2 linked regions of the Xenopus tropicalis genome follow. The main gene of each other region encodes a partner of the protein of the gene in region 2 in a complex. Links are inferred from orthologs where the notes say so. Each region holds a gene or a part of one and is shown on either strand. Other genes may lie near its edges.

Region 1 (4,199 bases), about 64 Mb from region 2:
TTTGTAAATAAGTTAATTCAGACTGTACTTAGTGAATGCTACAAGGTCTGTTTCTGTGGAGCACCGGTTCCAAACAATTCCCAGGGTAGGCCCAAGAGAACATGAAATATTTGTAATGCGAGTTAAGGGTCACAGTCTGAATACATTTAGTGCATGTTAGGCTATATTACACACTTTTTGTTCTAATTACAGCTAGTATAACTGAGCATACTGTACCTTGTCATGGCTAAATAGAACTAGAAAGCAGCACTGCCTGTATGGTACCTTTAATTTAAAAAGGGTCCTAAAAACATTTTTGATAAAATCAAATCTTAAAAATTAAGATGAAGGTGCAGTGTACAATCCATTTTTGCACACATGATTCCGGTCTTTTATAACATATACACTAAAGTATATATGCTATGTGGAGTATAATCATTAAAGGAGAATGCAAGTCAAAATTTAAAAAGCATACTGCCCAATAGTCCTCCTATTGTTTAGTAAAAATGCCACACTTTTGGCTCACCTAATCAAATATTTACTCAGTCACACTTACTTCACATATTCTAGAACAGGCAGCCATCTCTAAAAAGGTATTCTCCCTTCCTTTCCCTCCTTGCTTCATACTGCACATGTGTTTGCATGGAGATGCATCAGCATATAAAACAGCACATTAGATATCCTTCATTTTATCACAGAATGAAGTTAGCAAATTATTTATGTACAACTTTTCAAATATTCTTATATGTGTATGACTGTATCATATTATATACCTGGAATGTTCAATTTGAACCAGCTAATGAGCATTTGAGCATTTCTTTGGCCCCCAGTAGACTTTTTTTGCATGGCAAAATTTCAATATAATCTGGCCCTAAATGGATTACATTAATGGATTATTAAGACTGTCCCATACTCGTTTCTATGTATTTACAACTACAGCACTAGTTGTTGGTTATGACTCAGTCTAAAGACTCCCCACTGATTTTATATACCGGTTTAAAAACTTTTGTTTTGTATTCTGCCTTGGAAATGTTTCTTTACCCTTTTTTACCTAAAACAGTTGTCCTCTCTTTAGGGGTCACATTCCCCAGACTATATTCGGCCTCCAATTCCTCCTGCTGAATACGGGCCTGCTCCAGAATCCTTCGGGACAATTTCTCGTCCACGTATCCATCATCTTCGGCGTCGTCTGTAGGTTTCCCCTTGCGCTTATTACGGAACGAGGGTCTAATTTCTCCCTCCTGTTCGATCTGATCAGCTAAGGGGAGTAAGCGAGAAGCAGCTCCCCGAGAATTTTTGTGCTTTGGCATTTTCCTGACATACACGTGCATAGATCCACACACTGCGCATGCTCCTATTCCCCTGGCATCGTACGCCTCGATGTGGGACTTGCGTGAACCGCAAATAATGACAACAATTTTGAGCGCCGTGACGTCATAACACGTCGCTGTGTTTTGTACAATTAAGTACCAGCATGGGAGTGACTTGGTAAGTGTTTGTCATTTTTAATGTAGTAGTAGAAAAAGAAGAAACGTCATTTTGATGTTTGCAGATACGTGTTAACTTCTGGATTGTTTTTATCTTTTGTAAACTAAGTTTACGCTTACTTATTTGCATGACTGCTGCTTTGTTAATTATAGAAAAACGGAATCCTACGAATTCAACACTGCAGTGCAGTATCACACTAAGAATGCTATGGGTAATAGGGAGACAGTTAAAAGATATCCTTTTTTAAAAATCAACACTGTAAATATAACCTGTTGAAAATGTATTCTGCCTCTTATTTTCAGGATTTTTTTTTGCCTTTGTTAAGGAATAATAGAATTTTTTAATGATAATTTTGAACCCCCAATAGCGTTGCTGGTAAAAAAAAAAATGTGCTGGATGCCAATGTTATTAATAGGGTATAAAGTTATGAATATAGGAAGACTGATATACTATACCAAAATATATCTGTCTTATGTTTATCTTCCTTTCTTATAAATAACATTAACAATAGCCATGATTTCTTTTTTTGCCTAGGCAGCAACCATACTTCCTATTGCTGTATGATTGCCTTCAGCCTGCATCCTCCAAATGCCACCATTGTACATAACCCACAATGCATTGGAATGCTCCAGGAAAAGAAAATCACAGTAAATTGGATATAGATTTTCTCTTTTCCTGTTCACATTCTCATGGCAGTCCGCACAATTGGGAGGGAACATACACATACCAAATGCTGCAAAATACTTTACTTTTTTATTCAAAATCTGCAGAAGCAGAAACATTTTTTAATGCTTCACAAAAATATTAGGACACCTCCAAATTGCTGCTTTGAAAATCTTTTCTGGTGACGCTAAACCTTTGAGTGCCCATGATGCTGCCATACTGGATACATCTTACAATATACATGCCAGTGTTTGCTTAGCTGCACTGGTAATATGAAGAGAGATTTTGTTTTTCTTAACTTCTTTGCCCTCTTTAGAGTCATCTTAAAGGAACAGTAACACCAAAAATGTATATATTTTAAAGAAATTAAACTATAATGTACTGCTGCCCTGCACTGGTAAAAGTTGTGTGTTTGCTTCAGAAACATTACTAGAGTTTATATAAACCCTGCTGTGTAGACATGGGGGCAGCCATTCAAAAGAAGAAAAGGCACAGGTTATATAGCAGCTAACAGATAAACCCTGTAGAATACAATGGTGTCTTATCTGTTATCTGCTATGTAACCTGTGCCTTTTCTCCTTTTTTCCTGCTTGAATGGCTGCCCCCATGGCTACACAGCAGCGTATTTTTATAAACTATAGTAGTGTTCCTGAAGCAAACACCCCAGTTTTACCATTGCAGGGCAACAGTACATTATATTTCAATTACTTTAGAACACTTTCATTTCTTGGTGTTACTGTTCCTTTAAGACATCAAGGTTGTGCCAACAGATTTCTTTATCATTCTGCGGACAAGCAAATTTATCTTCCTAAAATATTAACAAATCTTCTGAAATATATAGTTCCTGGAGTTTGGACACTCTTCTGGCCAAGGTTATGGCCAACAAAAACACAATTTGTTAATTTTAAGGAATGTCCTGAATAGGTTGAAATGATTCTTTCATGAGACTTATGAGAACCAAAGGTAAATCCAATCGTCGAACACTTTTTCTGGATTGATATGATGTGAACCTTGAAGAAACTGAACTATCAGAGGATTTGTAGCCCATTTAGTTTCATTAGGTACTGATAATGGCGTTACTTGTCTCTCATCCACTCCACTTTGCAAAAATTCCAGAATGTGGTTAACCTCAGGACATAGGCAGATTATAGTCCTTACTTTCACACTACTTGAAAAACACTTCCCATACCTGATGGTAGCTTTTTCTTGTGGAAATTTTCCTGGAATATAGTTCTGATAACTTAGTATTTGGGCATTGTAGGAGGTTGCCATCAAATCCATTGCTCTTGGCCCGCATCTCTGATCGATCTCCTGAAAGATGCTGTGGTTCAAGAAATCTAAAAAACTTGTTTTTCCCTGGAGTAAAGACTGCTGTTATAGACCGGAAATTTACCTCTGCCCACAGGAACAATTTTCAAGATAAGAGAATTGCTCTTCGTGCCACCCTGTCCACATACTGGACTGCTGTGCTGTTGTTGCAGAGGATTATTTCTGCCTTGCCTTTCAGCTCTTTGAAAAATTATCTCCAATGGGAAAAATGCCTTGAGAGCTAACCAAAATGCTTCCATTTTCCTTTGACTGGACAACCAAGTCCTCTGGAATCAACTACATATTCCCTGTCTTCACAGAGTCGTGTGTGGACTGCCATAGGAATGCAAACGGGAAAGAAAAGAACTGTTTTGCATGTGGATTTTAGCATATACAAATGGTATTCATATGTTTTTAAGGAACAGATTACAGTGATAGGTATAGTAGGGGTTTTTGTGTTATGTGGGGCTCTTTAAAGGAAAACTATACCCCCAAACAATGTAGGTCTCTATTAAAATATATTGCTTAAACAAGCTAATATGTAAAAGCCTGCTTCATCTAAATAAACCATTTTCATAAAAATATACTTTTAAAGTAGTATTTGCTATTGGGTATTCCTAAATAGAAATTTGCCATTTTAAGAATTAAGGGCCGCCTCCTGGGATCATAGGATTCAAAGTGCACACAAACAAGCCACAGCACACATACGTGTTAGTTGACATTAGCCAATTAAAGGACAAACTTCTGTCTTTTGCTTTCAC
Region 2 (4,058 bases):
GTCAAAGGAGCTCTCCGTGCCAGTGAAAGAATCCATCCTTAAGCTGCGAAAACAGAAAAAACCCATCCGAGAAATTGTTACAATATTAGGAGTGGCAAAATCTACAGTTTGGTACATCCTGAGAAAGAACGCAACCATTGGTGAAAAAAAGACCTGGACAAAAAGACCTGGACGTCCACAGAAAACAACAGTGGTGGATGACCGTAGAATCATTTCCAGGGTGAAGAGAAACCCCTTCACAACATCCAACCAGGTGAACAACACTCTCCAGGGGGTAGGTGTATCGATATCCAAGTCTGCCATAAAGAGAAGACTGCATGAAAGTGAATACAGAGGGTGCACTGCAGGTGCATGCCTCTCCTAAGCCTCAAGAATAGAAAGGCTAGATTGGATTTTGCTAAAGAACATCTAAAAAAGCACAGTTCTGAAAAAACATTCTTTGGACAGATGAAACCAAGATCAAATTATACCAGAATGATGGCAATAAAAAAGTATGGAGAAGGCGTGGAACAGCTCATTATCCAAAGCATACCTCATCATATGTAAAACAAGGTGGAGGCAGTGTGATGGCTTGGGCGTGCACGTCTGTCGGTGGCACTGGGACACTAGTGTTTATTGATGATGTGAAACAGGACAGAAGCAGACAAATGAATTCTGAGGTGTTCAGAGACATTTTGGTGAAAAGGGTGAAATTGCCCTTTAAGCTGCCAGTCTCAGTTCCCCTAAGAGACAAATGTGTGAATTTGTATTCTCCTGAATCTCATGGAAGAAATGCTCACGTTTTGTTTACCAGTGCATTAAATAGTACTTTTGTTTGTTAAGGGGACCGCACTGTGCCATCCATGAAATGCTGGAAAACAAGAAATGTGAGTGTCCCAATATGTCCTGCCACCATGTCTAGACATGCTTTGGCCAAATGCTGTGATCATGGCCGTTTGTTTGGCTGAGGACCATGAGTAGGTTTGTGAATGGCACCAATGTGAATATGACTGAAAGCTCATCACCAGGTGAGGGGGGGGGGTTCTCCAGCCTCCACCCATAGGCCCCAGTTCAGTGAATTTGCCGCAGCCGACATCTACATCACTGCCCAACTGGCATTTGCTAGTTATGTGAGTAGGATCGCTAAGTTCCATTAAATTACTCTAGATGGCGCTGTGAAAAACGTCTGCGCTTTTCGACAGATACTTGTTTCTCTTGATTCCTTCCCGGAACTGCTCGTTAGCCCCGCCTCTCTTCCATCCGCAGACATGGCTGTTCCGGAGAAGAGCACGAAGGAAAGGCTGATGTCTTTCCTGGACGACTTGGAAGTGCTGTCTAGGTGAGGGCGTTATGCGACACGGGCATTTTATTTCTCGGGACTGCACCTAATACTTTGGAGCCAATATTGTTTCTTGCGTGGCTTTCCAGCAGCTGCAGAGCCAAATGCTTGGCACCTTACGAGCAATGAAGTTCGGAATTCCACTGTGCGGGATTCTTTGTTATAATAGCGCTGTGCGCTTACAGAGCGTTGCCCTATTATCTGGCCACCTAAAAGCCCTGTAAGTTGGGGTTTGTCCTTCCTGCTGTTCTTACTGCACAGTGGGCCAGAATAATATCTGTAAAGGGCCCCGGTTGATGTATAACGGTGGGTGGGGACAGGCCATCCCATGGGGAATAGCAGTGGCGCACAGTGATACATATGGATGTGGTTTGGCGCATGAATACTTGTCTGATCTTCCTTCAGGTTTCTTTTAGGGTGGCACCACCCCTGGTTTCCGACTGTTTTATTAGAGCCCCTTGCTCCTCAAGGTGCTGAGGAATTGCCTTCTTCAAACCCCCCTTTCCTTTAGTCAAATGGCAAAGTAAGACCTGTTGCTATTGCTTCAGCGTTATATCAGTCATTGTGGGAAACATGGGATACACTGTAATGCACCACAAGGAAAAATGACACTTTATAAAAAATACATTGACTCATGTTGCAATTCTGTCATTGTATGGTAAGCTACACAGCAGTTTGGTGTACACTAGCTCCACTGCGCTACTCTGTGTTTTTGGAAAAGCAGACAGGGCTGTATTAGAAGAGTTCATTGATGTGGTACAGGAAGGGGGAGTGTGGCTCTTCAGGGCAACTACATTTTATACTTGGCTATTGAACTCTTTTAAAGGAGAAGTAAAAGTATATTCACCGGGGGTGCCAAAATTGTAGGCACCCTGATGTTATTATAATGTATGTATGTATATCTTTATTTACATTAATACAAACGGGGTTATTAAGATAATAACAGAAATTCAAAGGATAACAATATATACAAATAAATACAAGATACAGTTGCAATAAGTTAAGAGCCAAAGACACAAAAGTATGGAGGTCCCTGCCCCGTAGAGCTTACTATCTATATAGGAGGGTATTTTTAACTATAAGTGCTGTAGGTTACAGTGGGTGACAATATAAGTGCTAGTTCCCAGATCAGGTGCTGGGTGAGTGCTCCAAGAGGTAGTCTTTAAATTTATCTTTGAAAAGACTGGGGGAGGATTCTCTCCCGAGGAAATCAGGGAGGGCATTCCAAATGTAAGGAGCAGCAAGGCAGAAAGGTTTAAGGCAGGAAACTGCAGTAGTAGTGGGGGGTGCAACAAAGCGGTTGCTCTGCGAGCAATGAAGGAGTCGGCCAGGAACGTAGGGAGACACAAGAGAAGAGATGTAGTAAGGAGCAGAGGAATTGAGGGTTAAGAGAAGGAGTTTGTAAGATATTCTTTGTTTAATAGGAAGCCACGATAAGGACTTTAGCAGGGGAAGGGCCTGAACTCTCCTGGATGAGAGGAGGAGAATTCTGGCAGCAGTATTTAAAGGAAAAAGAAAGTCAAAGTCACCAAAATGTTAGGCACTCCCAAGTGACTTTGACCACCTACCTTTTACCCCGGGCTGGTGCCCCTGTGAGGAGGGAACAGCACCAGCCCGGGGTAGCTGCCGGCGCTTCCTTCTTCCTGATTCGCTGCGCGCGCATGCGCAGTAGAGTGAAAAGCTGAACTTAAACATTAAAGTCGGCTTTTCACTCTACTGCGCATGCGCCCACCGCTGGCATTTCAGCAACGGAAGCAGGAAGAAGGAAGCGATCCGCTCCAGGTACCCCGGGCTGGTGCTGTTTTCTTCTAACAGGGGCACCAGCCCGGGGTACGAGGTAAGCAGTTAAAGTCACTTGGGGGTGCCTTACATTTTGGCACCCCCAAGTGATTTTGCCTTTCGTTTTCCTTTAATATAGACCAGACCCAACCTTTCTTACTCGTGAGCCACAGTCAAATGTAAAAAGACTTGGAGAGCAACACAATTAAAAAAAATAACTACCTGCTTTGGGGGCACTGAGAGCAACATCCAAGAGGTTGGTGAGCAACATGTTGCCCCTGAGCCACTGGTTGGGGATCACTGATATAGACTATAGGGGGAAAGATGGGAGTTAGGGAGGTGGTTAGTAGCAGGTTACAGTAGTCAAGTCGGGATAGGATGAGAGCATGCATGAGCAGCTTAGCTGTTGCAGTAGTAATTGCTTACCTGAGGCCTGGGGTTCTTCTGTAGGAGCTTATTTGTTGCCACCTTATTTTGCTTCATACTTCTCTTGAGCCCTGGTTTGGGTGCGCATACATGGCAGAGTGAAAAGCTCAGTGAAACAACAAAACAGCTTGTCACTGTACTGTGCATGTGCACTGGCCAGGGGCCAACAAGAAGGACGAAGAAATGGAAGATGATGATGTGGTGCTCCTACAGATATCAGACCTCAGGCCAGAACAGTTTTTCACACACAGGAGCACCAGCCCATGGTATCAGGCAAGTGATTATCATCACTGGGTGCTGCTTAACATTTGGCACCCCCAGTGATTTTTAACTTTCATTCTTCTTTAAGCTATCATTTGACACAGGAAACCACAATTTTGGAAGTCAAATATTTTGTCTGGCTGTTAGATCCTCTTATATTTGGGGTCTTTTTATGACTGGAAACTGGCAGGTTTACCCCTGGTTTCTTCCCCTATTTTGGACATGAAGTCATTTAGTTGGGTTATGTAAAAAATGTGCATAAACACTATCCAAA

Evidence for each region.
Region 1: med4 (region 2) and med20 share a complex: the UniProt entries of both Homo sapiens proteins name them as parts of the mediator complex. The link is inferred for Xenopus tropicalis from reciprocal best matches to the Homo sapiens genes MED4 and MED20.

Annotation. Positions count from the first base shown.
Region 1 is NC_030678.2:70,762,778-70,766,976, forward strand, and holds the start of med20 (mediator of RNA polymerase II transcription subunit 20), read left to right. Parts: upstream 1-1,357; 5' UTR 1,358-1,453; coding exon 1,454-1,467; intron 1,468-4,106; exon of another isoform or gene 4,107-4,199. Other genes in the region: bysl (bystin), read right to left, coding at 1,031-1,289. UniProt on the Homo sapiens protein: Component of the Mediator complex, a coactivator involved in the regulated transcription of nearly all RNA polymerase II-dependent genes.
Region 2 is NC_030678.2:134,878,363-134,882,420, reverse strand, and holds the start of med4 (mediator of RNA polymerase II transcription subunit 4), read left to right. Parts: upstream 1-1,246; 5' UTR 1,247-1,247; coding exon 1,248-1,318; intron 1,319-1,388; exon of another isoform or gene 1,389-1,422; coding exon of another isoform or gene 1,423-1,538; intron 1,539-4,058. UniProt on the Homo sapiens protein: Component of the Mediator complex, a coactivator involved in the regulated transcription of nearly all RNA polymerase II-dependent genes.